3 linked regions of the Yarrowia lipolytica genome follow. The protein of the gene in region 1 interacts with the protein of each later gene in a pairwise test. Links are inferred from orthologs where the notes say so. Each region holds a gene or a part of one and is shown on either strand. Other genes may lie near its edges. The genes, in order: YALI1_F01291g, YALI1_E00437g and YALI1_F04497g.

Region 1 (10,718 bases):
AACCTCCCCAAAGAGACAGTCCCCCAGTCCGCAGGTACAACCAGCCGCTTCTGCCACTGTGTCTAGTGTGCCTCCCTTCAGTATGGAACCACCACCGTTTACGATGCAGAGACGAACATCGCAACTGAGTATCAGTATCCCGCTGGCCACGTGCTCCGGCTCAAACACTCTGCCTGCCCCCTTGGGCACCCCGACGTCCCAGTCGCACCATTCCGCCAACTCCGCGGCCTCTCAGCTGTCGCTGTCGGACTCGGAATCGGACCCCAACTCCGATAACACTACACACACTACACCGCCACCAAACTACGACGATGCGCTTCCACCCAGCAAACATCACCTGTTCGCAGAGGAGCTCATGACTCCCTCCGTGCACCATGAGAACGCATACCCAGATGGACCCTTGCTCATCTACCCCAGCAACGTTTACCTGTACTCGGAGCCTTCTGTGGAGCTCGCCCGTACGTTCGACGTGGTCATCAACGTGGCCAAGGAGATTGACAACCCGTTCTCCGAGGAGCAGTATGCTAATGATGGACAGACCAACCCCGAGTACGTCTACGTGCCCTGGGGACACAACTCCAAGTTCCTGCCTGACCTGCCGTATCTCACGCAGCTGATTGATGACAGAAGTGCTGCTGGCAAGCGTGTGCTGGTTCACTGTCAGTGTGGAGTCTCAAGAAGTGCGTCGCTGCTGATCGCTTACATTATGAAGAAGCAGCAGCTTGATCTGAATGCAGCCTATGACTGGGTCAAGTACCGGTCGCCGGAAATCGGACCGAACATGACGTTGATTTTTCAGTTGATGGACTGGCACAAGCATTTGCTGGGCGAAAAGGATGCGTTGGAGAGCGACGAAGATTAGGTGCCAGAGGCTTTTGTCAGTCTAGGCCGGCTACACGCTCAGTTTTATGCGAGCCAGAAGTCCTGCCTTGAATTAGGGCTCTACAGGGGACTTCACCATCGCGACACCCGGTCTACTGAGTCCTGGACCAAAAGCACTCGAGTCTGAGCATTGATGCAGACTATAGGGCTCAGAGGAGGATCATCTGAAATGAGGCCTCCATCTCAAGGCTCATATCTGGAGCTTGTGATCCACAAGATATTTCTCACCAGCTTCAAGGACACTAATCACTTTCCCTCTATGCAACACAGTGCGTTTGTTTGGGGCCTGGGCTCTCACGCGCAGGCTACTGAACCCGTACTTCTACTTTTTGTCACTGGATGACTTCGATGGACACTCAACCCACCATATATTTATTCTATTGCATCTTACTTGCAGATTTCATTTCAATACATCTTGATTTCTATCCGGGGTTGTAATAGAGTGAGGGCTAGCCGTGGCCATCTTGGGCTCCTTTCGGGACTCTCGGGACTTATTTAGGGGTCGTCATGACTTACTTAGGGGCCTCGAGGGTCTCTAGATCATTTGCTTATTTATTCTAATTTATTCTAACTAATTATAATAACTGATTAAGACCACCCTATTATGTACTGTACCGGTACTGTAATCACGAAACGTCTTTCAGACCGTTATATGTGACATTACATACTAGTGCTGATACTGTCACATCTGATACACACACTCTACTATGTTATACACGCTGGTCTGCTATTTATTTTGTACAATTAATTTTTTGTCCCTCTGCATGTCAATATTATGTCGAGTATATCCCATATTGCTGTAATGTAATTACAGTGACTGTCAACAAGTGTCAGTCTGAAGAATAGTATCAGTTATGGAATCGTTCACAAGTATAGTACAAGCTCCGTGCAAGTACTTGTACCGTGTAATCCAGGAACACCACGCCTGCTGCCAGACTCTGACATTTGTCCGGATGTTTCAACTGCACCCTTCACCTTGTGCATGGGACATCTTCTCATGACAGAAAGGGAACAGAGTTCGGTTGGTGCACAATTATTACGTCACTGAGACGGGTGGGCAAGACACGGTTGCCACCATGTATAACAGCTGTCTCTGGCCATCTCCATCTGACATGCCTCATGTATCTGGGATGGGCTCTGGCACCTCGGCGGAAGAAGCAAAAGCAAACCGATGTGACAGGCAAAGCCAGTGCTGTACAGTACATACTTGTAGGCGGCGGGACATATGTCATCAGCCATCACAGATGACCGGATACAAGTATGACTGTACCTTGACAACAGGTCTGGGCACTTGTACGAGTATGCATGCACCAAGTGCTCTATTAATAGTGTAGACTCTGTCTCCTCTCATACACACACAAATCCGGCCATCTGCACAACCCGTTGCATGCGTTTTTCCGAGTGGAGATGATAGAAGCGTGAGTAGCAAAGCCGTGGAGACCAACGGTGGCGTATATAGATTTTTGATTTTTGATTTTTTGAATTTTCACTTTTTCATCCGAAATATGACTCTCTAATGTCATCGGTCCCAAAAATCACGTGAACCTGAATATGAAAATCTGTAGCCGATTGGTAGATGATCATCATATGGTATGTAGTTCTGCCAGTAGATCTACAAGTACTTGTACGATACTCGCAACGCCCCATGACTCTTCGGAAACCGTGACCCGGGTCACCTCACCACTGTCTCTGTTTCAAAACAAAACGGCTGAAACAGAAACATGTAGCCGAGACGCTCCAAACACAGATAATTGATCCTTACTGTAGACTGCAATACGAGCTGGGTGCGTGCGCAACGGTGTGGGAACTCGACAAGATGAGGGGACAACTTAGTGCTGCACCTCTCTTGATGTGCGTTCGGCACGAGTTCATGTACTGTACGATGGGTACGAGAAGCGAGGAGTCTACAATGTCGGTTAATTGACTCTCTCAAGAGAGTACTGTACGATTCAAGTGCACTAGAGTAATCGTACCCTTGGGCATGTTAACAATAGGCACCCGTCCTGAACAGGTTCTGTACAGGTACGAGTTGGTACAAAGAGTAGCGTCTAGCGTCTAGCCCTGTTGTTCGGTATACACGGGTAACTTACATTCCTGAAGAACTATCTATAAGTAGCCTCCTACATACTCGCATCACCCACTTCAACCAGAGCCGTATTAAAACCGTTTACTTTCTCTTCTCAAAGTAAAGGCTACAGGGCTCTTGCAAGCGGCCTCTCACTACCGCGCGTCCGTTTATACTCATTAACTATTCATCTAATTCATGTCCACAGCCCGTCTCCTACCCTATGCGTGAGCCTTCTTGATTTCGGCAATGTCCTCCAGAGCCTTGGTGGAAAAGTAGCGCACGTCCACATCGCCGTCGGTGGAAAGCCGCTCCAGGTGGGGGATCACGGTCGATGTGCAAATCTCCTCAATCACCTCAGGCGAGCTGATCTTCTCCTCGTGCAGAGCCCGCACCAACTCTGTGTACGTCTTGGCCACATTGAAACGGATGTTGGGGATGGGGTCGTTGATGAGCTCGGCAATGAACGGCAGAATGGATGTCTTGATCATCGACTCGTCCACCACGGGGATGAGTGTGGTCACGGCACAGAGGGCCGTGAGTCGGTACAGGTAGTTGGAATCCGCAGCAACGACGATAATGTGGGGCAGAATCTCGTCCTTGGCCCAGTCCACACCAAACACCTTGGTCAGCTTCTTGAGGTTCTGTGTGGCGGCCTCTCGAATCGAGTAGACGCTGTCCCACAGCCAGGTCATGCACAGGGGACCCAGCTCCTTGTCGAAGAAGGAGACGCCCAGCTGTGTGGCCAGCAGAGGGATGTACTCGATGATGGCCAGGCGCACTCGCCACTGCTTGTCCTGCGCGAGATCCGAGACTGCAGGAAGCAGACTCTGGCTCAGTAGATCAATACCAATCACCTTGTTGACCAGATGAAGCTTGGAAATAATGTTGAGCCGCACATCGGGGAAGTCATCCTTGAGCATCTGCAGAAATGTAGGCAGCAGAGTCTCAATTGTCTTCTCCTTGCCGAGCAGCGGTGCCAGGGCCGAGATCTCGGAGCCCAGAGCAGCCCGCACGTGCTGGGACGAGTCCTGAGATAGTTCCTCGACGTTGGCAACAATCTTGTCGAGGTTGGCGGGGGTAACGAGCCGGCAGAAGCCAGGCACCTGCTTGGCCACCGCTGTCCGGACCTCAGCCTCGCCGTCCTGCATGAACTTGATGAACTCGGGCACAAAAGCTCGCTCCATCTCGTCCACCTCCGTCTTCTCCACGCCCTCCTCAGGCACCACTGAGGTGAGCGACTCGGCTAGCTTCTCGAACCGGTCGGCGCACATGTATCGCACCCGCCACGAGGGGTCATGGAGCAGTGCGAGAGCAAACTCGATCAGCGAAGACGTGTGCTGCGAGTTGCCCTGTCGCTTGAGCTTCTCGGCCTTGGCAATCAGCACGTTGACCGACAGCAGTCGCACGCTGTCCTGGTCGTCGCCCACCTGTGCCTTGAACATGGAGTAGATTTCGTCGTCGGCCTCAGGAGAATCAGCTTCCGCGGGCAAAGCCTCAATCACTGCAGGCAAGTGGGTGGCGGCAGCTCGACGGACCATGGGGGTGTCATCTCGTGTGAGCTCTCCATACTGCTTGAGAAGCTCGGGAACAGCCTCGGTAGGACAGTGTCGAATGGCAGCAGCATAGAGACCGGTGGCAGAGACCTTGGAGGAAAACCACTCTGCAGAAGAAAGCCGTTTCACCAGAGGCAGGATGGTCTGGGCCACGTGATCACGTGACGGCAATCCCTCACAGATTCGGTTGATGGACTCCACGGCCTTGTCCCGAACAACAGGCTCCTCCATGCAAGACAGGGTCTCTAGAGAGGGGATCAGCAGGTGCGAGTACTCGGGGCCTCCGATGTAGGGAACCAGGTTGGCGAGCTCCTCAGCCAGCACGGTCAGGACCTCGTCCTCGTCCTCCTGTGTGACATCCTCCAGAAAGGGGATGAGTTCGTCACGGCATCGCTCTTGGCGTAGGGCTGCGGCGATGAGCTGCAGTTTTTTCATAGCAGAGATTCGCAGCGAAAACTCGTCGTGTTTGAGCTCGTCCATGAGCAGAGCCAGGGGGTACAGCTCGTCAGGAATGTCAATGTTTTCTTGTTCCATCTGGGTTAGTGGGTGGGACCAGGGGCAGAGCGCGGGCGGCAAGTCTCATGAGTGAGTGGAGCAGATCTGCTATCCCATCAAAACTAATTGCCGTCCTTTTGTGTCACTGTTCCTTCTCCTGCGGTTCTTTCGCCCTCTCATACTCACGTTGATGGCTATGTTGTGTGGTTGTTGTTGTGAAGAGAGTGTGGTGATTGATGGTCACACCCAAGCTCAGTTTAACGTGCATGTCGAGGGTTTGTCGCAACCCTGGCCCTGGTTCGGGGGTCGGGTTTGTGGAAAATTGGGGCCATGTGGGGGTCTGAAAATTATCGAGATTGGTCAGACGGTCCACAATTGTCTAATGATGTGTTTTTTTCACGTCTCTAGCTGTACTACTTTGGCCTCATCAGACAATTGTCTTCTAGTAAACACGTACATGTTTCTCTCGCCGTATAGTTTGATGCACTTTCTCCCAACCTCGACCCGCGAGTGAGCAGTTGGAGTTGCAGTAGCAAGTGAAAAAAGGACTGGGCCCGTCAATTATGAGGAATATTTGGGGCACGAATTATTCAATTGGCTCTTAATCTATAGGCACGAATTACTCAATTGGCTCTTAATCTATAGGTGCACGAAAGTTTTTTCCACTAACAAATTGTCACATTGTCACATTGTCACATTGTCAAATTACCACCCATTATTATCGTGCATGCCGCCATTCCACAGATCACTATAACCTCACAGGTTAGGACTGGCCTGGGGAGATGAGTAGAACCACTTTTGGGGCGATAGAAGGTACATTTGAGGTATTAGAACTTTTATGGTGGTTTCAGATTGCTATTGGTATATCGGCTGCTGACTTTTATTGATTATTTTTTCTCTCCAAATATGATTCTGAGAGACATGTTCTGTTCATATATGTACAGTGTATGTACTATTCAGTCCTAAACACTCTAAATCGATGATGTATAGATAAGTTGGAATAAAAGCTGAGCCGGAAGATTTTGATCTATTCAGAACTCTCAACATCACGAGAACCCCCAGAAATGTACATGTAGATCCGTGCAAGTACCTGTACTCGTAAAAACCCACCTGCTCATGGTCGACAGTCAACCCGCCCATTACCCTACCGTCAGTGTGGTGTTGTGGGAATTGCACCCGAGATGCGAGTGGGGGGAGGTTCAGAGAAGCAAATTAGGCAAGCCAGAAAACATGAATTTTTTAAAAATATGAAGAAAAAAAAAATGAAAACCAAAATTTCAGAGAGAAAAAATAGGCCAGACTCGAATGTGAAACATGTATAAAAATTGCCAAAATCTGCCGGAAAAAAGACACGGGGATTACGTACCATCTAGTCTTCATCATTTCACTGGAATCACCGGCTTTTCTCACACCACTCCGGTCTCTCAGTAGGGTCACATCAGTTGCTGTATCCATGCTACTCACTTATACTCGTACACTATGTACTGTATCGGCACTTATACCTCGTTTAGCAAGGACAACAAATACTAGAGATCTGTTGTTCAGAGAAGAACAGATTTCCCCACGACTTGATATTCAACAACGTCACTGATACAGTCACGTGATTACCACGACGTCGCCATCAGCTCTGAATCTTCTCACTCAACAGCATGCCCACACTCAGGCGGTTCTACGCGATTGATCCCACCCCTTTTCCGGAGCTCAACAAGGATGAAAAGCTAGACGTGCGGGCGATGCAGCGCACGTTCGAGGGCGCGTACTATCGGTCGGCCATGGGTCAGTTGGGGTTCGCGCTGCTGGTGCTCAAGGTGTTCAGCGTCAAGTTCATGCCTGTGGGCACCACCTTCACGGCCTGTGGGATTCTCATTTTGGTGGTTGCGCTGCGTCGCAAACGGATCACGGACCACATGATGTATGAGGAGACGCTTGGCAATCGGATCTTCATCACCAGTGGCAACGCCGTCATTTGGTTCGCAGCCTTCAGTTTGGCCAGTTATATTGTCATGTTGGTGTTGCTCATGAGACTGGACTAACGAAAGGACAGGCGACAGGTGATAGAAGAAGATCACCAATGATAGAAGAATAACCGGGCAGGGATTGCCAACGACAACCTCAGCTAACTATTTATTACCAATATTTATAGAAACCACTAATGACACTGTCCAGCGCTGAATTGGCAATTGGCACTGGTCATTCTATGGTAGGAGCTCGTAGAGAAGCCACGTACTGATCTGGGATAGTCAGTGAACGGTTCTCGTTCATGTTCTCGTGCCGTACTGTAGTGTACGGTTCTTGGTCGTTCTGGAACTAGATTAGACCCATTCGGACTGATAAACGGGTCACGCCGTGTATTGAAATTCCTATCCCAACTAAAGCTAAGTAATTATGGGAAAATTCTTAGAGAAGAGAGATGTGTACTCGATGATAATCTATATGAAGTGAGCATTTCTACTACAATGCCAGGACCATTTCACTCTACATAATGTCGATATCAATCCATATTTTATGACCAACCCCTGTTTCAATCCCCAGGTGTATTTCACTTGACCAATTCCTTCCACTAAAATCTAACTAACTTGGGCTTTAGGAAAAACCTTCTGAACGAGCTATCTAGGAGGAGTCTGGCGAGTGACGTGATGATAGGCAATACGTTCCAGGAGCAACCCCGAGATATAATAATCCGACAGTGCCATTAGTCAATGACCGGGCCCCTATGTTGATAGAGCTACTAGTCCTCGGACAGTCGTGGTAAGAGGGTAGACCCAGACAGACCGCCGCGAACTACTTGTAGTTTTGAATAAGTCTAGACTTGAGGTTATAAGACGCTAACAGTGTCTCACGAGTGGGCATATTGGATCCCCTGGGCTAAGCTCTTTTTGGAAAAGTCCACTACAGTAGCTAGAGTTAGGTACAAGTCTAGATCGAACTGCTTTCAACGCAGGCCAAAGACCCTTGTTCAACCCAGTCTAGTGTCTGGATTAATCCATAAAATAGGCCAATTTAACGAGTTCCCCTGGTCTAGAGATTGTATCTACACTTGTAGGGGTACAACTGTAGTTGGTTGTACTGATAGTCTCGGTCCTAGATCAGAGGTTACAGTTCCCCAGGTCCACATTTGATTAAAGCAATCAATTACTATTTCGTTACATCTCCTTATCAATCTCTTTTGCTGCTTGTAACGGTCTCGGGAACCAGAAGACGCAGAAACAAAGGTGGTATATCATCTCCGCAGCTAGCTCTCCACAGGCTGGAAGGAACCATTGGTACTCAAACAAAGTCCAGTTTTGTTGCACGTGTGCTTTAAAGGTCAGGTAGACACCTGCATAGACGATTCCCAGAGCCAGTAGAGCCATGGTGAGCATGGCACTTCGTCTGGCCAGTGCCGACTGGTTAGTTTTCTTCAGATACCGGGTGGTGACAACAAGACCCAGCATGATGGGGATGTAGAAGGTGATCTTGAGAGCCTCGGGAGAGAAATCAGACATGTCAATGGGGAGATTGAGAGGCTTGAGCAGGAAATAGGCCACACAAAACCAACCTCCCTTCACCACCCACGACAGAAAGTAGAATTTGAGAGACTTGGACTGGACAATGGTTCCATAACCTAGAGACATGACAATCAGAAGAGACAGAAAGAGCGAGTCGGCCACAGGCTTGACTATGGATGCCACCGTGGCGACTAATTCAGGCGCAGTTTCGTATTTGTTCGTCATAGACAGATTGACAAACACCAACACGGACTTGAGCACCAGTAGACCCATGGCCTTGGTGAGGTACTTCTGGACAGGTACCGCGTGTTTCGAGTTCTTTTTATACGCGTAGAACCAGATGGAAAAGGTCACAAAATGATAGATGATTGAAATACGGCTCAGTAACAGCAGACCCACCTCGCCACCTCCCAGAAACCCATATGCGCTTTTGATGGACATTTTGGCGGCAAAGTCATCGTTGGGGATCACAGGGTGCACCATGGCACAGTACTGGCCGGATTTAAACACCGTGTACCGGAACTTTTGGATGCTCTGGAGATTCAGAGGAAAGGAGAAGACTCTGGAGTACAGGTTGTCAGTCTCCTCGGGCTTGACCTTGAAGGTGGCATATTCATGCTCTTCACATTTATTGTTGTCGATGGCAGCATCGTCACACACGCCTCCAATCCGGTCATAATCTCTCCACTCGAAAATCGCCAAGGCCATCACTCCAGGCGTCTCCAGCTCGTCGAATGAGAACTGGATGTACGTGTCCTTGGCAGGGCCCACACTGTCTTCTCCAGCGTTTACATTTGCACATGCGAGACGCGTCTCGTTATCCAAATATAATACTTCGCCTTTGACCAGTGTCAGCCACAGCAAGAGTAAGAATTGGGGTATCATGTTTACTGGTATGGTTGTGATGTCAATGTGTCAACGATATGAGATTACTGTAAGTTACCGCTTGAGTGGCACAGTACATACAGTTATCGGATGATAAGTAATTCACAAAACTACGGAGGGAAAATATTCAGAATGACAGATTATGAGTATGGACGACGAAGCTGGTTTTTCTTTTGATTTTTTACCCGACCCTTGTATCTCAAAGTGTTGTTTGTCTCCCGCTGACTTGTTTTGTACCAACTCCTTCGGCTATCATGCATGATGCACGTCACGGTTACGCGTATGTTTGGAGTGATGAAAAGTACAGTGTAGAGGGCTCATTTTGGATCGAAAAAGTATCGGGTTTTAACAGGAGACCCAAAACTGCGAGAAGAAGTCTGTCAGAAGTTTTAGATTCGAAAACTGACAAGAAATGAACATTCTAGATCTCTCCGTGATCTCGTCAAGATCTGCATCTGTTAAGCATATCTAACATTCCAGCTCGGAATGTCGCTGGTGTCCGTGAGAGTGTAATACCGGAACTTGTAGAGAAATGGACTCTCTCTGATCTTTGTAGACAGTGATTTGGATTGGCCTAATTGCACCAAATGTCTTTTTTGTTTATAACACATTTAATCAGGGTTCTTTCATCCATCTATTGGCTAATTTCTCTTTCTTCCAGACTGATCCCTCTGGGTACAGTAGCTACGAACAAGAACTAAACTCCTTCATATCTAGCCGATTCGTAGGAGCTCAATTGGAATCGACTCATATAACAGATTGAACTAGACCATCTCATACATATCAGTCTGTAGAAATCGCTCATGCATCCTCAAAGAGACACCTTGCGTTTGCTGTATTACAGTGCATACTATTCTTTCCTTTTCTGTAACAGACGATTCCAGATCCCTCAATAATGACTTGATTAGTACAAAATAAACAGGAATAGATATACGAAACGATAATAAACAATCTATCTCTTAAAAAATAGTCCCCATATCCACTCAAAGTGTCCCAAAGCAACGTCTCTTTTCGCTCCCTGCGAGTCGAACGAATGATTCATGCACCCACCAGACACAATGTCCTCCAACCTCCGAATATTATTAACTCAATCGTTGTACACTCAATGGGAATCAACCAAAAGATCCCTTCTTAACAAATTAAACCATACAACAACATCACAAGCCACCGAGAACCTCCTTCAAAGCCGGTCCTTTACTTTCTGCACATTCTCGCGCTTACATAATCACTACGTTCAAACTTTATTTTAATTCACCACTACTCTATCTGTGTTCACTCCAACCCACCTACACATACATCACCACTTTTGAAACACCACCATGCGCGACTATAGCGACGTCTCCGAGG
Region 2 (11,324 bases), on another chromosome or scaffold:
ATATGATATGGATAGACGTTCAGATAAACTTATGCGCGGTTTGGCAGCTTTTTGGCGCTTTTTTTTTGGTTGCGATTTTTTTCTCACACGCAATTGATTGATTTATATACTCACTAGCCACAATTCTGAGTAGCAAACTGCAAGTCAACAGGGGGTACAAATTGAACTGGGTTCGCAGGTGTAACGGAGGACGCACATGTTGGCCGATTGAAATTTCAGAAACCTTGTGTAGGAAAACTGGTACAGTAGTCAGCGGGTTTGCTTCTCCGGTTTCTTGGTCTGGTTAGTCAGGCTTAACACGCAGAACATCTGAAGTTCGCTCCTGCAAGAAATCACTCTTTTTTGCATCTCTACTGGTCTTGCCACAGTGCTGCGTGTATTCTCCCCTTCTTCGTGAACCCAATCACCAACGGTTTTCGGAGGTTGTCAACAGCGTACAGTATCAATGTTATTTTCCAAATGCGGACAAGAGCGCACTTTAAGTACACGGTCGAATATCGTCATGATCGGATGTGCTAAAGAATTTATACTGTAGAATCTATAATATGTTTGTTGGGGGGGGGGAGGATAATGTGGTTAGTTTCTGAGGCTAGGCAAAATGTGGTTGCCAGATCGACCCACAGCGTTCACGTCAGGAGCAGGAATGCCCTTGTTCTTGTTCTGGAAGTAACCACTCTCAGGCACATTGTTGAATTTCCAGGTAGTGTCAACGTCATCGTTCTTGATGTCAAGCTTATCAGCCACAAACTTGAAGATATTGGCGTCAACATCCTTTCGTCCAAGATGGGGAAGCTTCCAGTTGGCCTGAACCGTAGCAAGGTTGGTGTAGTGGTCGTAGAAGGTGTCGTCGGTGGTTCCCTTGAGGTGGTCAGGAATAGAACCACCCAGAAGAACGGCATAGACTCGGTTCTTTGTCAGGTAGTTATGATTCTCGTCAAAGGTCAGAATGATGAGGTTGTTGTCGTAGAAGGTGGGGTTCTTGAGCAATGGTCGGATGAAGCTGGATGACCACTTTCCAGCCACCTCAATATCGGAGTCGTGGCCATCGTTGGTCATGTTGGGAGTGATGAAGGCCCACTGGGGCAGGTCAGCGTTCTTGAGATCTTTGTAGAACTCGGTGAAGTTCTTGAGGTTGCCCAGGCGCTCCTTCTTGTTGGCGACAGAGTCGTAGTTGATGAGAGGGTTGTGCTTTCTCACGTAGTCGTTGGCTCCATCAGCGTTCTTGAACTCATAGCCGTCGTAGCCGGTGTATTGGCTGGTGTTCCTGTACTCGCCCCAAGAGATGTGCTTGGTGTCGAGCAGATCTGCGACAGTGGCCACCTCCTCAGGCACCCGCTTGAACGAGTCGGTCATGTCTCCAAAGTAGTCTCCGGACACAGCGGCAATGTAGTTGGGCTGCGAGGGGTGAGTCAGAGACCAGTAGTTGGTGAGCAGGATACCCTCGTCTGTTAAGGCCTTTAGGTCGGCCTGTCCGAACGCCTTGTCGTAGTTGGTGTTTTCCAGCCAGATCTGGTAGTATTTGTCAAACACCTGACCCTTAACGGTTTCGTAGCCCTCGTCCTTCCAATGGTTGGATTTAGCGGTTGCTGCCGCAGAAGCAATAGCGTCTGGCGAGGGTTGGATCTTGGAGAATGTGGGGGGAGCAGCGGAAACAGCTGTAGCCAGCAGCACAACAAGAGCAATATCGATCTTCATTTTCGTGCGTAAGAGAGAGAGTGGTGGGTGCGGTATACAGATCCCGATTAAACTGCTATATAAGCGTCCTTTTGCCTCTCATGTACCTCCAACTCTGCGCACGAGGGCTCACTTGCCCACCTGTGTGGGTGCAGCTAAAACCAACTCTGATGCTGATAAGCAAGCCTCAACTGCATACACAAAGCGGCCAAGGCGACAAAACTCAGGGCGAATGGTCAATTGCTGAAGCGTGATTTGTTGGGAGGATAATAAGCACGTTTGAAGGAGCTCAGGACGGCACAAAAAAGAGACAAGAGAGACAAGGGCGACCGTAAAAGCCCGAAATTAACGGTCAGCCACTTCACGGCAAATGAAAAGAAGATCGTTTGGGCCGAGGCCCAGGCTTCTAATGTATGCACTCACGGCTCATACAGCAGTTAAAGTGCCTTGCACTTGCTACAGAGCACGGGACCATATGGTTATATTAAACAAAACCTATATTGTATTGTTTAATAAAAGGGAGAGATTATATGAGACCCATACAATAGATTATGTGTATTACGAGTAATGTATGTACTGTACAGTACTTGTAGCTAACGTGAAGGGCCGAGAATGCCGCATCCAACTGTGAGGATCTTTGTAACTGTCAATGTCAAACTACAATGAAAGTACAATACTGTACACGATGTACGTCATTCCGACACCACGTGGGAAGGATGCACCGGTGCCATGCAGAAACGCATGTATAACTACAATAGCCACTCGCTTACCACCCAGAAAAATTACTGTTGGCCAACGAGGTGATTCGCTTCCTCTTTTGAGAAATGGACGAGGTGGGATCGTCAGCAGCGTCTTCTGCAGGCTCGGACAGCTTCAGATACCGTCCAATCTTGCCACTCTCTCCGGTCTGCTTCTTTAGAAACGGCGAGTCATCCATGGGCGTCGTCTTCTTATTGGCCTCTTGTGCATTAATATGCCCACCCTCCAAGAAAGAAAACGGGTCGCTCGAAACACTAACACTCTCCAACGTGATATTTTTCACGGGTTTGTCGTCCACCGTCTCAGACAGCTCCAACGTAGTCAGAAACGAGTTGTCCACCACCCGTCCAAACACAGTATGCTTCCCGTCCAGATGAGGGGCTCGGCTGTAGGTGATGAAGAACTGGCTGGAGTTGGTTCCCTTGCCTCTATTCGCCATACTTAGCACTCCCCGACTATCGTGAGTATGAGGGTTGAAGGTCCCGCATTCATCTCTAAAGGTTTTGCCAAAAATGGACTCTCCACCCGAGCCAGTGCCGGTAGGATCTCCACCCTGGATCATGAAATGCTTAATGTTGCGGTGGAAAATGGTGCCATCGTAATACCCCTTCTGTGCAAGCTTGACAAAGTTGTAGACCGTCAAGGGTGCATTATAGGGATACAACTCCAGGTTTATTTGACCTCGTTTGCCCTGGCAATTTATCGTCAGCAGAGCATATACTGGGTCCTTGAGTTCAGCCATCTTGGGCTTAAGCTTGTCCACCAGATCCTCCTCTATCACAGTCACCTGAGTGGTTGGTACATAAGTTGTGGATGTCAACGAAGCTGCCACGTGATGGGTTGTGGTCTGGCCAGTTCGATCCGTAGGCTTGATATCTTGTGCTGACGAATCTGCCTCTCCTTTTTTCACTAATGTTCCATCCCCTTCCTCCATCTCAGCAAAATTGCGTAACCTCAACACATCGGTCTTGGTGAATGCTTCGTCGCTCACAGGATCCCTCCCACTCTTGCCTAGCTCCTTGATTGTGTCCTCCAAATATACCCGTTTGCTTGGCCGCACAACCACGGCATTGTGGTACTTGCTCATCTCCTTGAAGCTCACGGGATCAATAATCTTGCCCTCTCCATTCACTGTGACTGTCAGCTTCATGAGATCTGTTCGAGTCAATGTGGCTCCAGGCTCCACTGGATGCGGTACGCCCTTCTTGCCGGCCTTTTTACCCTGCTTGACAATGTAAGGCACAATGTTCTTGATGTCGTAAACGTAACCCAGCTTGTCACACATCATGTTCTTGTGCTCGATAGGTTGCTGGCCAATAGTGCAGTGCCAAAAGGGATTCTTCTGGACGCCAGATTGTGCCTCGCTCTTTTTTCCGCCGCCGACACTGTGATCTCCTAGTGCCCATTCGCTCTGTGTAATGTATAACTTGTCGGTATTCTTTCCCATGTTGATGGTGCTGATGGCAGAAGTTACATGCAGAAATATCGTGCATGGCCCAAACCTAAGGCAAAGTTGTACAAGTACACTGTACTCCTTGGGTGGCATGCGAGTGTGCAAGTACATACTTCTACTCGTACTGTAGTTATACAGTAGTTTACTGTTGTCCGCTCAAGACCTGTGGTCTTCCTTTCCGTAATATTTGTCTTCAATAATTAATCCTATGTCCATGCTATTACCTACAAGCTAGTATCCAAACGGAAAGTCACTGCTACCGCGAGGGGTGTGGAAACCAGTATGCTCCTCATCGTTATGAGCAACGACAGGAGTCTCATGGTTAGTCACAACCCCCAGAGGCTGGATATTGTGGGGCTGTTGTTGTTGCTCAACACCCTGCTGCTGCTGCTGCTGCTGCTCATGCTGTCCAAGTCCCTGGTGCTGTTGGTGCTGCTCGTGGTGGTCATGTTCCATGCCCTCCTCGGGACCCTGGTTATTAGCAAGCTTGTTGCTATCCTCCTCCCCCTCCTCGGGAATTCCGCTCATCTGCAGATCCCGGTCCTCGGTCTTGAGCATGGAAAACTCCTCCTGGGCCTGGTTGAGCAGCTTGGCAAATTGTGGCGAATCAACGTTCTCCTGACTATTGGCCGCACGTTCCACCACCATATCCCACCACTTCGCCACCAGCGCCTCGTGCTCCTCCTTGAGGTCTTGTCGCTCTTGGTACACCATGGTGCACTGGTCAAACAACTGCGGATTGGCTTCCATGATCATTTTCATAGTATTGTACACCATAGAGTGGATGGTGCGGTTCCAGTGGCCGCGGGAGTTTTCGTACAGCGCAGGGAATATGACCGGCAAGATCTCGGTGATGTTCTCCGACATGAGCGTGCAAAAGTACTCGTTGTTCCAATAGTACAGTGCCCGTTCGGCCACCTGGAAATGCTGCGACGAGATGCACTTAGCTAGCTGCGAGAAGAGGGGGATCTGGATCCGCTGGAACTCCGTCGGCTCCATCACCTCGAAGATGTCCTCAATCTCGTTCAGGAACATGACCTCCTTCGACGAGTTAACCTTGGGCCAGTACCGCAGCAAGCCCAGAATGACTTCCTCGGTAAGCGAGGGGTCCTTTTCCAGGAACTGTACGACACAGTAGGCCAGCTGTGGGTGGTACAGGCTCAGAGTCTTGGCCTTATGCAGAGGGATGAGCACCCTGGACAAGAAGATCTTGTGCTCGTCCTTGAGCGGCAGAGCAAAGCCGTTGATGATGGAGCCCAAAATCTCCAGCAGCTCGGCCACGCCATTGAACCGCTCCGTTTCATAAATGAACTGGAAAAAGACATTGTTGATGGACCGCCGGATATACGCTCGCAGATTCAGGAACTTGCCATAGATTCGGTGCAGAGTAGTTTTGAGGCAGTCCCGCTCCCGAATGTCTTCGCTGTCAAACAGCTCCAGCAGGTTCTGCACAAACCGGTGGTCGATGAACTTCTTGGCAGACGTGTGGTTGAAGTCCGGTGATTCGATGAACTTGAGGAAAAACTCGTACACCAGTTGCATGTGGGGCCATGCGACCTCGCAAACAGGCTCGTCCTCGTCAGGATCAAAAACCTCTCCTACCGGGTTCACCAGTGGAGGCGTGGGCCGGAAGATGTTCTTGCCAAACATGCCCACCACCTGGGCGTACATTTCGTCCGTGATTGTGATGCGCGTGTTAGCGACAAAGTCCAGCAGCTCGTGCAGAGCCATCCGCTTAATGTCCTTGCCCTGAATGTCAGACGACGGGTCGCCAAAGTCGAAAATGGTATTGCACTGCTTGACCTTCTGCAAAAACAGCTCCGCGCGCTTTCGGAAAGGCACCTCGTTGAAACCGGGGAGACGCTCCAGCTCCCGCTCCTTGGAAATTTCCAGACGGCTGGAGTTGTGTCGACGGGGGGTTTTGACCTCAGGGCCGTCCGCGTTGAGCAGCTCAAACGAGTGGCGCTTGGGAGGCTCCAGATCGGTGGGCATGGTCTCCAGCTGGCCCGGAGACGACGGGTGGTGATGTGGGGTGCCCGAGTGCGTGCTCATGTGGCCGGTCACGTGGCCCATGGTCACGTGACTCGACGCCTGGGCCGAGCCCAGTTGCGTAGGTCCCTCAACGAGAATGGCTGGCGGTGTGTTTGTGTCCATCTGCTGTCCCTGCTGCTGCTGGTTCTGCTGCAGGCCCTGGAGCGCTGCCTGTGACTGGGCAGGCTGTTGGGGGGTCAACATGGAGGACACGTTGCCGGTCGAAGGGTTGGAGTTGGATGATGTGGCAGGGTTGGTGGTGTTAGCATTGCTGCTATTGGTGGTGTTAGTTGCACCACTGGTGATGTTATTGTTGCTGTTGTTGTTGCTGCTGGAGTTGTTGTTACCAGAGGACCCGCTGACAGAGGTTATGCTGCTGGCACTCGAAGACGAAGAGACCGGCGTAGCGGCGGCCTGGACATTGGAGGGCGTAGCGGCAGCAGGGGTGGGCTCAGGGGTTTTCTTGCGGTCGCCTAGCGAGAAAGTGCGCTTGGGTCCGTCCTCCTTCTTTTTGTTTTTGGTCGACGACTCGCTGTGAGACTTGGACCGCGACAGCATTCGCTGCTTGAATCCTCGCATCATCTTGGTTGTCTCTGATTTCGTCGTCTACGTCGCGTCGTGTGTTTGAGGGGGGGTTGTGGCAGCGTTCGTAGCGTGTGTAGTGTGAGGTGTGTTGTGTGCGTGTGTGCAGTGTAGAGTAGCTTGCTCACAATGGGGAGTGGTGTCGTGAGACTTTTTTAGACGTTGCGAGTCTACCGGTCCAATGATACGTTTCCGCCTTTTGTGTCGTTTTCAAATCTGGTCTCGGCGTACGTATCAGACAATGATGGATGTTGTATGTCAGTTGAGACGTCGACGTGGATGTAGCAGCTAGCTAAGTTCACTGATGATGTGTGATGACCATACAGATAGACGAACTGTGTGTGTGTGTGTGTGTGTGTGAGTGTGTATGTTTTGGAGAGAGTTAAAATGGAGGCGAAACACTATGGACGGAGAATGCACCTACAGTGGTCTACTACAGGCTCTGAGATTTGAAACGGCGCTTTTTGAACCCCGGAAATTTCTCGTATCATATCCGACACATCATCATGATTTATTATTATTGCACTGGTTTGCTTGGGCTAGGGCCCCAAACGTGGCAGCCAAAGTTTATCCTCGTCGTACATTACTCTACAAGTAAAAGTGATGGGCATTTGTAATTACAATGATAGTAAAGCGCCGGTACGAGAACTAGGTAGCCCTGAAGTGTAGATGGGAAGAGACGTAAGAGTTTTCACCATGGTAGGTTGATAAGCCAAGCTGTTTTGGCCAATCTGTTCAACCAATCACAGCTGTCTAATACCGCACCCGCGCTTACACAGCTGACTAACATGCTGTGTTCACTCCGACCCTTCCCGACTCAAACCCTTCACTACACTCTCCTCCCTTCCTAATTGAGGGACAATTAACACCCCATACACCGCCACGGTCCGGGCAACCCTAGCTACGGTAAATGCCTTCCTACCAACCGGGGCACACGACACTGGTCTAAACCGAAAACTCCACCGACTCGGCAACAGGGGACTAAAAATAGACGAGTGTGGTCTGGCTCCACCACTCTGGGCACGTGATGTGCCCCTGTTTCTCATGCATTCCAAAGAAAGAGACGTGTTGTTTTCCGCAACCCACAAGGAACTTTAATGTGCGGAGACGACGAGAAAACAATGGTTCCAAGTACCGTGGAGCTAGCTATTGTACAAGTATTGATGTATACTGAATATGAAAGCAGGGCTGCATCATATTTAATGAATCACCTTTACCTGGCCACCATCTACCTCTTAACCATCCCCCCCCCCCCCCTCCACCACACCAATCACCCTCTCCACACCGCACAGCCTCATTTGACGGAGTGAAACCTCAACCGATATTAAGCATCTTCGGAGCTTATCCGATTAGGGAGTGTACAACGACAATTATGATATTACACGCGTCCATGTGGGGTGATAATAACGAACCGTGGATGGGGGAGGGCTGGTCACGTGATTGGCTAGTCACGTGACCACTATACGCCCTCTGTTGGGTCGTCTCTGTATCCTATGCCGCAGTACTTGTAATTGCGCTCTTATTAGAGCAGTTTCTTTGGGGTAATTATTCATTCCATGCATTTCATCTCATTACTTAGATTTGATCGGAAGAGATTCCCAATTAGACACGGTTCCTCAAATCTTGTACAAGTGCAAGTGCGGTATCAGGGTTACGGGATGAGTAGAACGGTGTATCAAATAAATATGTCGAATGTACGTACATACACAATTGGGTCGTTATCACAGCATGAATTATCGCCATTGCGCCCAGTCTCGTGGTTGAACCCTCTCATCCGATCCTACAGTAGTACCGTGGTTGTAGCGACTGTCTCTTGTCACACTTGCCTCTTATTGAATGCACTGTGGTGATAGCTGTCATGGACTCAATCATTTTTATACATATAGCCATTGATATAGCCATTGGTGTACAGTACAAGTACAAGTACTAGTACGAGTACATTGTACCATATTGTATTCGTGTTGTATCAGTTGCTTACGTACATTCGGTACATGCTGTTTTTCCAACACTTGCTAAACAGCTGTGGAACTACATCTTTTTTTTTTTTTTTGCCAACGGCTACACAGTCGCATTCCTATGCTCCATGTCATCCCATAGACAGATACAAGTACTAGTACAGTAGCAGTAGTACATCCCTTGCGAATTCATCAACAGCCATCCCCACCCCACACTGTAAGTAGTAGTTCCATCCACGTTAGTGCTATTACCCCGCAATCTATACACCCATCTTTAGTTCCTTACAACTCCCCGCCCTAAACATACGATACACGATACACCACAGAAACTTCAACAATCAATTTCAAATCATATTACACTCAATTTTCATTTTTTCATATTGTGGGTATTCTGCGACAAGCACAACAAAATATCAACCCCCTGTAACAGCGGAGGCTTCATCAAAGTGTACCGTCTTTTAGTAGCGCGTGGAAGAGTCACGGTGGACATGTAGCTGTCGTCAGACACGCCGGACGAGTCCGAGTCGCTGTCGCTGTCAGACACCCACAAGACCGCGGGCTCAGAAAAACAGCGCTTATTGGCTTGCCACTTCTTGGTAGCCGTTGGTGGACTCTTCCGGTACCATTTGATCGGCACTGACACTATCGGCAGCCGCTTCCTCAGAGATATCACCATCAATCCTCCCATGCTGGTCCTCGTTGTTTTGCCCAGACGCCAAGGTCGTAAGCTCCACAAATCGACGGATCAGAGGCACCTGCAAGACTGCAGGGATGTACGAGTCCAGCCGCTTGAGCAGACGGGGCTCGCAGATCTCAAACGGACCAGAGTCCTCCAGAGGAGAAGTCTCCAGCAGAAGAACAGCGTTCTTCTCCAGCTTGACCTTTTCGGAGATTGTGTTCATAATCTCGGACGAGATGGGAGCCTCGTAGTCAGCAGACAGGTACTGGCCAATCAGACGATGGATCTGAGAGGGAGTGAGAATCCAGCAAATGTCGTAGATGATCTCAATATCCTCCAGAGTCGACTTCTTGAGCTGCAGCAGCTTCGCGGACTGCATAAGGTGCTCCAACTTGACCACGCCGTCGGCAATGTCATGCGACTTGCACCACTCCTCGATTCGGGTGATGTTGTAGTTGATCTGCAGACCTCGCTTCCACGACAGGAAGTTCTTTCGCATAAGCAGGTCGTTGAAGGCCTTGACGCCAATCATGGACAGCAACTCCATCAACGACTGTCGCACGCTGTGCTTCTCGTTGAAGTAGCAGGTCATGGCCTTGTACACCTTGTTAAACAAGTTGAGCAGATCATCCATGGAGTAGGACACGTTGGAGGTGAACATCTTGGCGAGGAAACGGCCGTTGGAGTCTGTGGTCATGAAACCAGGGAGAGCCTGTGACAGCACAATGGCGGGCACAATCATCTTGTCCAGTAGCTTCTTGAGCTCCTTCATCCATGTGTGATAAATGTTAAACTCCAAGTTCTCCAGATCGGCCTTGACCACGTGTACCAGACGTCCGTACTGCTGGAACTCGTACTCGCCCATCTCGTCCATAATGTCCACGTTCTGGGCAATGTTGGCCTGGGCAAGACACACGAAAGACATGATCTCGTGCACGTTGGACAGCCAGAATGCGCCGGGGTAGATCACGGCCTCGCCGCTGAGCTCCAGAATGTGCTTCTGGATGGCCTCCATGACTCGGGCCAGGAACCGCTCGGACTCCTTGATAAAGCCAAGCCGCCACATCTCCGAGGTGATCAGGTTAAGAATGTGGGCGGGGAAGAGCACCTCTCGAGGCAGAAACTGGTCATCCGACGTGTGGGGGATGGGGATGTTGAGTTTGTGGATCAGACCCTCGATCACTTCATCATACAGCTCGTCGCTCTGGGACTCGAGCAGCTGCTCAATCTGGCCATTGACTCCGAGAGAAGCCATCATCTGCTCAGCGTTGGCACCGGCAGCAGCTCCCATGGCAGCACCGGCAGCAGCGCCGGCGGCAGAAGGTCGGGGAGTGAAAGCAGCAGCACCGTCAACGATGCCAGCAGAGGTGAGAGATCGACGCTTGATGTTTCGTCGCTTGGCGTTCATTGCTGTGCCAGGAGTGCCTCGAACAGGAGACACTGAGGCCATATCAGAGGCAACCACGCCGTTCTGCTTGAGTTTCTCAATCTCGTGCTTGGCCTGCTCCAGCTGCTCGCTCAGAGATTTGTTGGTGTCAATGTGCACGTTGGTGGCCTCAATCTTGTCAGCGACTTCCTTGGTCTTGGCCTCGAGCTCCTGCTTCAGAGCAGCGTTGGCGTCCTCCAGCTCGGTCAGCTGCGCAACGGACGCCTGGTATTGCTTATCCAACGCAGCCAGCTTCAGCTCCATGGTTTGAACCTCCTCCTGGTGGGCTCGCTCCTTCTCCTCAGCGGCATTCTCCAGCTCCTCGACCCGAGAAGAGTTCTCGGTGGACTTGGCGGTGGCAGCAGCAGATCGGGCGTTCAGCATGTCCATCTCGGCCAGCAACTTCTTGTTCTCGTCCCGCTTGGCGGTCAGACTCTGGGTGAGCTCGACCACCTTGTTCTCCAGTCGGTACTGCACCTCCTTGAAGTGCTTCTCGGACTTGGCCTCGACCTTGAGCTGCTTGAGCTGTTGCTTGGCCTGTCGTCGTCGGATCAGCGACTGGATGAGCACAATGTTCTGCAGCTTGTTACGGTACTCCTTTCGAGCCACATATCCTCGGAAGTTTCGCTGAATGGTCAAAGCAGCACCCTTGTGGGCCACCTCCTGGATGTTTCGTCGCACAAGAACACCCCGGAAGATGGCCTGCAGCCGGACAATGCCCTCTCGCTGCTGCTTGAAGTCTCGTCGACCAGAGAAGCCTCTCCA
Region 3 (10,137 bases), about 320 kb from region 1:
ACCAAGGCCGAGTGAAGACCGACACCTCCTCTCTCTGCGACATCTCAGCTCGATACTTTGACAACATCTTCGACAGAGCTGCCGATATCAACGACACCGACGACAGCGCCTTTTTAGACCTCTTCCCCGAAGAAACCCGGAGGGTGAATACAGCTAACCCAAGCCTGGACTCGTCTTTTACCAAGGAGGAGATCTTCGATACCATCAAGGCGTCTACGCACAACAGCGCGCCAGGGCCAGACGGCATCCCGTACAGGTTCTACCGCGACTGCTGGGATGAGCTGGGGGACTTGATGACGGACGTCTACAACGAAGCTGGAGCCGACTCGCCCATCAGCACCGAACGCAACACCGCTATCATCAAACTACTGTACAAGTCGGGAGATCAGGCCGACATCTCCAACTACAGGCCTATTTCTTTGATCAACACAGAGGTGAAGATCTACACACAGCTCATTAACAAAGCCATCCAGAACATTCTTCCGGACAGCATTCACGGCGCCCAAAACGGTTTCGTACCGGGTCGACACATCACTAACAATCTCGACACCATGGATCATTTTTGCAACGCCTACTCCCAGCTGAACATGGGTTGGGTCGTAGGATCACTGGACTTCCGGAAAGCCTACGACACTATCAGCCAGAGTTGGGTGATAAAGACGCTTCGAAATGTGGGTGTCTCGGAACTGATGATCAACCGTATCCTAGCTGTACAACAGAACGCAGTAACGAGAATCAACATCAGAGGTGTCCTATCTCGCCCAGTCCGCATCAAGATCGGAGTGAGACAAGGATGCCCTCTCTCTCCAACCCTCTTCATCATCGCAGTAGACGCACTTGTGCGTCGTCTGGACCGAGAGATGTTTGGACTGGCCCCAGGCCTGCCACTATCCCACCACCACACCACTGGGCACAGGCCGCCACAACCCCCTACTCACCCGGAGGCAGTGGCAGCTGGACACATGAAGGTGTCGGCTTTCGCGGACGACATAGCGGTGTTCCTCAACAACATCCAGGACGTGGCCACGGTTGGTAGAGTGCTCTGCCTCTTCCAACGGGTCTCAGGCCTCACACTAAACCCGTCAAAGACGGTGCTTCAGAAGATCGGCCCCCCCGATTGTTTTGTTCCACTAACCTTTATTGACGCAGAATGGCAGCGAACAATTGACGCCACCTGGCCAACCGACAACAACACACGACAGGCCCCGACGCTCCGGACATCTGACAACATTTTCCGGTACCTCGGAGTACACTTCGGAAATCGCGAAAGGTTGGACACGCACTACGCTCAGATCAAGGAGGACCTCAAGGAGTCGCTGCGACGCCTTTCACTATGGGGTCTCCCCTATTACAGCAAGGCGTGGATGATCAACATCTACTTCTTCTCGAAACTGAATTTCCTTGGACCCTACGTCAGCCAGATCGACAACACCTTCATCCGAGAGCTGAACGAACTAGCGTGCGACAAGATCAACAAATTATCACCCGACAAAACACGCAAAACCTTCAGCAATGGTTTCATCCAAACTCCGGTAGGCAGAGGAGGACTGAACCTGCGGGACATGGGACGTTTCATGGTGTGCCTGAAGGCCGCTCGGGCTTACAGGTTCTTCCATGGCTCATCGCCGGCCCTTTGGGACTGCACCTTCCAGTTCTACAGCAGAACTCACAGTCTCACACAGGAAAAGCCACACCAGCGCGTCGACTGCCGCTTTCCGACAGGCCAAGCTTGGGGCTACGCAGCCTCCCCCACCATGCGAGACGCAATCAGAGCTTCTTTCGAGCTCAACAAGCCCCTCACCGCGGAACATGCCAACCCTCGAGAAGATCACGAGCCCTCTACAACAGACACAGTTAATCACAGAATCTGGGAACGAAACCAGGTGAACGTGAGAGCAGCAGAATCTTTCCGGGAAGCACACGTCGACATCGCAGCCGCGAGACGATACCATCCGGTCAGAATGGTGTCCACAGCGGAAATCGACCACCTCCGGTGGAGCATGGGACCACTTACTCTAGAGAACTTCATGTTTCACAAGACCTCGTCTCCCGACTTGCCAAACTTCCCACACACACTTGCACGACCGAAGAAGTGGACTCAACGAAGCGACTACGGGGGCATCTCTGACGACATGGTCTGGCAGGAGGTAATGCATGACCTTCGAAAACACTACATCGCCGACGCCAACAAAGCACAAGTTCTTCACCTCATGCGGATATCTCGACTTCCGCTCGTGAAATGGAGATACCCTGACGACCACGTTTTCACCAAGAAGAATCCAGGATGCGGGCTCTGTGATAAGGCCATCATTCAGGATCTGCACGAGCATATCTTCTGCAAGTGCGAAGTTCTTCTTTCCATGTTGACCAGGATGAAGATTCCGTCAGTGGACTCTCTAAAGGACTGGATCTTTACCGAGTCGAAATGTGGAGTACTCCCCTCTTTCCCAGGGCATGTGAACAGTGACGCCCCCCGGAAACATCAACAAGTCAAGACACGCAAATATCTGCGGGAATTGGCTTATGGGATCTGGAAGATGGAGAGATCCCTCCGGTACTCAGGGGACGACGCCACCCTGGGACATGTCCAACAGGGTTTGCTTCAATTCCTGAAGGAAGCCCAGATGTGTTTCTACGATGGACAACCGCCAGCACTTCACGATGAGCGAGAGTAGACACAGTAGCAAGCGTAAAAGGCGGCCGAGGCCACCGAGAGAACAGCGTAGCAGGGCGCGTAGTCACCACAGGGGACGCAGAACCAAACCAATGACGAAGAAGAACCACAAGGAGAAGTTTTCAAAGGCAATGCAAATGAAGAGGGCAATGGAAGGATTGAGATTAGAGAACTGGAGACTGGAGTGGCGTTTTCCCGATGAACGAACAAACACGCGAAGCTATGTGGACCAACATACAACACGGACTGAACCAGGTTTTTTTATGATTTTTTTACTGGAAATAGGTACGTGCCAAGTTGGACCATGACACTAAACGTGTTTAATTAGTAATATTCGTGTAAGCGTACATTCATTTCAAAGGTTATTCTTTCACGGCAAAGTTATAATTAAATGAATGTATATGCAGAAAAAAAAAAAAAAACTTGCTCCAAAGAAAAGACATTGATTAGCTGAAAGTCAGAAAAGATAGCTATGGTGTTTTTGTGAAAACCAAGTACAACCACTGTACTTGGATATATAGTATATACTACATTCACCAATCCACAACAATCTCAGTTACCATACTGATAATTACACTATCTATAACTCTTCCCAAGCGTAAACAGTATACCAAATGGTCGTACTAACACAATACCCCACCTAACTATGTCAAAAGTAGGAATATTGGAAATATTTAAAAACAGGGAGAAAACCCGTGCTCAGAATATCTTTTATACACTCTCAAATCCCATAAAAATTCTCAGAAAAAACCCAACACAAGCAATGTTACATTTCAGATCTAGATCGAAACTTAATGACGAAACAATCAATACAGATACGCCTTAGACGGCTCTAATTATCACTCTAATTAGGACCTTTGTTGAAATGGGCAGTTGAGTGCGACATTTCAGTCACGTGATGTGGTCTCCGCGGGCGAGTAGTTTTGTCGTCCGATGACGTCATAGTTGCGAGTGACAGTGGTGTATGAGTATGTACATACGAGTACGACTACGAGTACGAGCAACTCCTCACATTGGGTAAAAGGATATCACGTGATGGAATGATGTGTCACGTGACCAAACCTATCTTTACACAAGGCCCTGTCTGGTATGTACAGTACATACGTTATATACGTAATATCCGTAAACACAACCCTCCACATACCCCACATTACTGTGGACCCCTTCCCCCTTGCTGTCTCCCAATACGATCACCAAACGTTGTTGCTGCGCTTGGGGCAGAGGCAGCAAGGTCTCTGGGGTTGCCGGGGGGAGGCCGGTTGTTAGGGATTGAGGATATGTTTGTGGCGTCTGAGTGTTTATGAGTAAGGAGGATTTTTTTCTGAATTGATCCGATTAAATTCAAATTTCGGCGAATTCTCACAGAATTACCTCCATTATATTCGATTAGTTTCGAAATAACGGGTGTGTTTTAAATACGCTCGCGTAGATCGTCACGTGGAGAAAAACACGAATCGGAGAATATGGGTCGTGACGGGCTGAATTATGCCAAATTATGGGCCTTTTATCGAATTTATCAGCCCTCCAGGCGGTGCAATTGAGGCGTGCTGGACGTTTGCTGTTTGGAACAGTACCGAACGGAGGGGTGGAGGAAGGTGACGAGAGGTGTGGGGCAGGGATAAAAAGCGGGTAAAAACGAGAAAAATATTTTGAGCTTATTAAAATGGTCGGTAAATCTGGGCGATTATTTTGGGGTTTTCAGAAACATCCTCAATGAGCCGCCTCGTCCTCCTGAGGCTCCAGTCATGGCGTCACCCTCAAAATTAGAATTGCAGGAGGGTAATTCGGAAGGTGGTTTTTTTTGAGCGAGATGAGATTAGGGTGTGGATGGAGCGAGAGGGGGTCCATAAATCGGTGTTCTGGCGTTGGTTCAGAGCGCAAGAAAACATATTTGTAGTAAAGTCGTGATTTTAAATCCATTCCAGCTGTTTCCAGATCTCTAACTCCTTCCCATCACCTCCTCATCGTGTCGTATCTTCTCCTCTCTCTACATTACTACCTCTTACTCTCTCCCAACCCGACCTGCATACATTTCTCACAGCACAGTTTGCACCACTCTACTTGTTGTTTGACCGACCCCATCATCACCACATCATCACCGTTGTCCATCGACGTTTGCGATAGAGCTATTTGGCCCGAGTGTACGAGTGGAACGAGCGGTACGAGAACGACACGCACAACACCAAGCAAAAGACTGAAAATCGACTAGCGACATCGACACACAGAGACACCAGACACACACCCCGAACGGACAGACACAAACACACTCTGACACAAAAATGGACGAACAATGGAAATTTTCCCAATGCTTCGGCGACAAGGGCGACATTGAAAACATCACGGACGCGGACGTGATTTCGACCGTGGAGTTTGACCACACCGGCAACTACCTGGCCACCGGCGACAAGGGAGGCCGAGTAGTGTTGTTTGAGCGGAACGAAAACAAGAAGGGATGCGAGTACCGGTTCTACACCGAGTTCCAGAGCCACGACGCCGAGTTTGACTATCTCAAGTCGCTGGAGATTGAGGAGAAGATCAACAAGATCAAGTGGTGCAAACGCCAGAACCAGGCCCACTTCTTGCTTTCCACCAACGATAAGACCATTAAGCTGTGGAAGGTGTACGAGAAGTCTTTGCGGGTGGTTGCCGAGAATAACCTCAGCGATTCGAACAACGCCGGCGCTGCTTCTGCAGCCGCCCCCGGCACCTCCACAAAGCCCAACCAGCTCACCATGGACACGCTTCGACTGCCCCGAATGACGCTCCATGACACGATTGTGGCGGCCTCCCCCCGACGCATCTACGCCAACGCCCACACCTACCACATCAACTCGATTTCGGTCAACTCGGACGGCGAAACGTACATTTCGGCCGACGACCTGCGGATAAACTTGTGGAACCTCGGCATTGCGGACCAGTCGTTCAACATTGTGGACATCAAGCCCGCCAACATGGAGGAGCTGACGGAGGTGATCACCGCAGCAGACTTCCACCCGCAGAGTTGCAACCTGTTCATGTACTCGTCTTCCAAGGGTACTATCAAGCTGGCCGACATGCGAGACAATGCTCTGTGTGACGGCCACGCCAAGCAATACGAGGAGTGGATGGACCCGGCACAGCACTCCTTCTTCACTGAAATCACGTCGTCGATTTCGGACGTCCGTTTCTCCAACGATGGACGATATATTCTCTCCCGAGACTACCTCACAGTCAAAATCTGGGATGTGAAGATGGAGCGAGAGCCCGTGCGGACCATCAACATCCATGAGCAGCTGCGTGACAAGCTGTGTGACACCTACGAGAACGACGCCATCTTCGACAAGTTTGAGGTTGTCTTTTCCGGCGACGGCAAGTCAGTGTCCACCGGATCGTACAACAACAACTTTATGATCTATCCGGATGCCGTCAACCCTGCCACACCCGAAGATGCCGAGATCATTCTGCAGGCCGACAAGTCCGCCTTCAAGCAGAAGAAGTTTGGCGTTCCCAGCGCCATGGGCGGTATTCTCAAGGGCGGCAACGGCGCCAACTCACCCAATGGCCGAAAGCGAGGCCAGTCTCCAGGAATGAACATGGTCAAGCGGGACATGGACTTTGACACGATTGATTTCAAGAAGAACATCCTGCATCTCAGCTGGCATCCCCATGAGAACTCGATTGCTATTGCGGCTACAAATAACCTGTTTGTGTTTAGCACTTTGTAACGAACTTAGGAGCAACGAAGAACATGTGGCGCGACGCGACCATGTGAGTAGCGACTATGGGAGAAGGAGCGGACACAGACGGATCGAGCACTAGATCGACTGAAAGGGGCATATGGGATACGGCTGGGGACACAATCTCGCAGCTCGTATGTGTTTTGGTATAGGTTGGAGGGATATATAATGAGTAATGATTATAGAAAGGACGGGAAGCTACTGGCCTTAGGCCAGGAGTGAAGAGCAACGTATCAGTGTTGTAGAGCGTGTGATCTAGCGTTGTCAGTAAATCTGGAATGCTTATGACAACGGTATGGAGGTGGTGGAGGTAGTAGATAAATGTAGTAGATTTGGAGTACTTGTAATGGTACACAGGCATAATGATGTACTGTAGTATTCGTCTCGAAGTGGCCATAATGACAAATTGGCTACGCTTGAATGTGTTTCGTACAGGAGTCATGCTCATGGCACATGTCTGCTGAGCAGCTTGTGCAACGGGAAGTCATACAAGTACTTGTTGCTGGACTTGTTCATACCTCAGTACCCAGAGACGATATATATATACAGTAACTTTTAAATTTTTTTTTAATAATATCATTACAGTATGTAGTGCAACATCTCTAACTGGGTTGATGAGTAGCATCGATTTTTCATGACAAACAATGCTGCTGGCTGATGGGATTGTGATTCAAGAGCCGATACTAGGAAAAATACGGACCAGTTTCTCATATCTAACGTCATTTCCACGTTTAAACCGAAACTGATGAAGGAAGAGCATTGGTAAGAGACGACCTACAGACCCAGTCTTCTCTGGAGGTTGTCAACCAAGTTCAGTTGACGAGTACAGTAAATACAAGTACAGTATGTACCGTACTTGAAGCGATGACTATAATACAGTACAAGACAGTGCAAGATACAGAAGATGACTTGGACAAGAGGTAATGAGCACTCCATTACGAACACTCCATTACGATCACTCCATTACAATAAAATTAGCCCGTCCTTCTAACTGCCCCAGACACCAAACCTCCGTCTAAATCTCACCGACAAGCACGTGCAATAATGCTTTAGTCTCGTCTTGCCCGCTCTTTCAACCTCTATCACATGTTACTGTACTGTATATCGTACTTGTACAAGAACCGGCACCTGTAGCTATAATGGATACCAACCACTGTACTGAATATATACCAACTACTGTATTGTACACAGTACAGTACAAGTACAATACAACTACTGGTACATGTATAGTATCTGGTGCACAAGCAAGACGTACAAGAAGCCCACTGTGAAGATCCATCTCACTCTACAGCTATGTACTTGTATATATGCAGAGTAAAAATGAACTTTCCATGAGATGTAGGAATTGTCTAATCACTGCCACTCATCCAAATATCTCCATCTTTCACTGGTCTACCACGTGTAGTACGAGGACTCGTAGGTTTAAGACATTCGATCTGGATCAGTCATCTGAACCAGTGATGTGTATCAGTGGGTCGACCAATGTACTTGGAACACTGCAATGAAATGAAATGTGGTTCTGGAGGTTGTGGGCTTGATCGGAGGCGTCCCATTAATTATTGATATATCCGACCTCCTCGTGTACTTGCAGCTTGTATTACATTTCGCCTACGTCCTACAGTCATTGTCGATGCTCGCTCGTCCTACAACTGTAGTCAGAAAGTCGAGGACGACTGCACATTCACTATATCTTGTCGGGAGACACCCGGGCTTTGCCCTCGAAGTTCCTCCGAACGCTCTACTTGTACCGTTATAATAATGCTTTAGCTATATCGCGAACTTAGTCAGATCGGATGTGTCGGTTGACGGCAGGGTTCCAGAACAGAGTCTTGTCACCATCGCCCCAGAAGAAGCTGTGTTAGTATAATCATTAAGAGGGCATAGTCCGTATTTGGAGGACATTCGAGGATGTCGTCCAAGAGTGGTCCACCAATGGGTTGACTCGAGACAGACACGGCGGTCGGGCCAAACGAGACGAACAGCAGCGCGACACGTCACGAAACGCGGTACAGTCATATACGGAAGACTCCCATGGGACTCTCAGACCAAGTCTTCAAGTCTCGAAATGTCAACCAATCAGATCGCTCCAATACACGCGTCACATGCCGTACGTGCCAATGTCCATCTCTCACGCCTCCACCAAAGGTGAACCTGCTCTGGATCTCGCCCCGTCCTTCCGTCAGGCATCACTTTGGTCATCCCCAGGCGTCTGAACGCTCTCTCAATACGTCCTTGTGTGTGTTACAGACAAACAACAGCTAAGGCTGTCAGTCAACGTAACACTGTCGTCTTCCCAACCACAGTCAGCTTAGCTGTCCGTGATCGGGGTGCAAACAGCTTCGCTCTTTGCGCTACTCACTTCTTGGTTCGAACGTTCTGGAACTCGTACTCAGGAGGGAAGTCCTCCTCAGACAGATGAGACAGATGCTCTCGGTGCTCGGCATGGGCAGCCTCAACAAAGTAGGTGTTGACGCAGGTGGCCAGAATCACGGGAGTGCAAATGTAAATGGAAATCTTTCGCCACAGCTTGGAGGTGTGCTCGGCATGCTTCTCGGTGGCCACGTACTCGGCCTCGTAAGCCTCAGCGCCGGCCTTGTTGATCTTGTAAGGACCGTCCTTGAGAACCTCCTCCACCTTCTGGTTGATGTTTCGGGTGGTGTTTCGGAGAGTGGGGGCTCGGAGAACGGTGGTGGGTCGTGCGACTCGTCGAAGAGCAAACATTTTGGTGATGGAGTGCGGAGTGCTGTTATGGAGAAGAACCAAGCCTATTTTCCGCAGAAGCCCTCTGGCGATATTCCTCGCAACTGTAAAAAAGTGTGGGCTGATGACGGCCGCTGTGATTGGCCAGTTAAGTTTAGGGTTAGGGGAGTCAGCTTCCAATGGGGCAACAATTGTGTAGCACTACCGTTTCTTTTTCCTGTCGTAATACCGGTCAATTAGACACGGCTGCTGGGTTTCAATATCGAAGGAAATCTGTCTACAGTCCAAAATGAGCAAATTCAAGCCCCGATTGACTATGCTATTCAAAAGGCGGGTGGTCGAAAGATTGGCCCGCCCTAGCCCTAATATACTTAATTAGGATACAACCCTAACCCCACACAACTCAATTGATTCGTCCCAATCACAATCACACAGGGACAGGGGAGGAGATGGACCGTGCCGAAATAAGCGCACCCTAACCCCGATTCAACTGAGAATACTGAATGAAGACGAGGGGTAATGGCAACTTGGAATAAGCGAGAGGTAGATGAGAAGAAGTGTGTAGATACGTGTGGGTAGGTGTATGTGTATGTGTATGTGTTGAGTTTTTTTTGTCACGTGACTACAACCATGGTTGAAAAAAAATACTCCTCAAAACTCACGCCTTACCTAATCCACTTGTCTGTTCTTTGACCAATGAACATCGACCACACCAGGGAGACTGCAGGGTAACTTTGCGTGGGTGTGTGTGGAAAAAGAGGAATGTTGAGAAGGGCATAGTTGTACAAAAACGTGTAGAATGGTCCATAAGACGGTCACAGCTCCACAAATTGAATGTCTCGGGTGCCCTAGCCCCCTCCCCCCCACTAATCTGGCCCCACTTGTCTTAGTCAGCACACATTTGGCCATCTTTCTTCTCTCCTTTCCTCTTCTCCACGTCAATTAGATTTGGTGGTCCCGATTCCAGCCGGTTAGTGCAGCCGGACCGAGCAGATTATATGAACAATTTGGAGGCAAGTTGATGTTTGGGAGTGGCTATGTTGGCGA

What was found.
Region 2: the proteins of YALI1_F01291g (region 1) and YALI1_E00437g interact in binary tests that used the Schizosaccharomyces pombe proteins (3 or more experiments, as listed by UniProt). The link is inferred for Yarrowia lipolytica from reciprocal best matches to the Schizosaccharomyces pombe genes paa1 and par1.
Region 3: the proteins of YALI1_F01291g (region 1) and YALI1_F04497g interact in binary tests that used the Schizosaccharomyces pombe proteins (3 or more experiments, as listed by UniProt). The link is inferred for Yarrowia lipolytica from reciprocal best matches to the Schizosaccharomyces pombe genes paa1 and pab1.

Annotation. Positions count from the first base shown.
Region 1 is NC_090775.1:123,467-134,184, reverse strand, and holds YALI1_F01291g (uncharacterized protein), read right to left. Parts: upstream 5,038-10,718; coding exon 3,169-5,037; downstream 1-3,168. Other genes in the region: YALI1_F01346g (uncharacterized protein), read left to right, coding at 1-862; YALI1_F01324g (uncharacterized protein), read left to right, coding at 1,590-1,681, 1,729-1,930; YALI1_F01275g (uncharacterized protein), read left to right, coding at 6,648-7,031; YALI1_F01248g (uncharacterized protein), read right to left, coding at 8,142-9,371; YALI1_F01234g (uncharacterized protein), read left to right, coding at 10,691-10,718. UniProt on the Schizosaccharomyces pombe protein: Phosphatase 2A affects a variety of biological processes in the cell such as transcription, cell cycle progression and cellular morphogenesis, and provides an initial identification of critical substrates for this phosphatase.
Region 2 is NC_090774.1:37,253-48,576, forward strand, and holds YALI1_E00437g (uncharacterized protein), read right to left. Parts: upstream 6,500-11,324; coding exon 4,118-6,499; downstream 1-4,117. Other genes in the region: YALI1_E00389g (uncharacterized protein), read right to left, coding at 577-1,695; YALI1_E00412g (uncharacterized protein), read right to left, coding at 2,441-3,997; YALI1_E00510g (uncharacterized protein), read right to left, coding at 9,030-11,324. UniProt on the Schizosaccharomyces pombe protein: The B regulatory subunit might modulate substrate selectivity and catalytic activity, and might also direct the localization of the catalytic enzyme to a particular subcellular compartment. Has a role in cell shape control and septum formation.
Region 3 is NC_090775.1:444,541-454,677, reverse strand, and holds YALI1_F04497g (uncharacterized protein), read left to right. Parts: upstream 1-4,953; coding exon 4,954-6,378; downstream 6,379-10,137. Other genes in the region: YALI1_F04559t (uncharacterized protein), read left to right, coding at 1-2,675; YALI1_F04455g (uncharacterized protein), read right to left, coding at 8,171-8,243, 8,750-9,111. UniProt on the Schizosaccharomyces pombe protein: Phosphatase 2A affects a variety of biological processes in the cell such as transcription, cell cycle progression and cellular morphogenesis, and provides an initial identification of critical substrates for this phosphatase.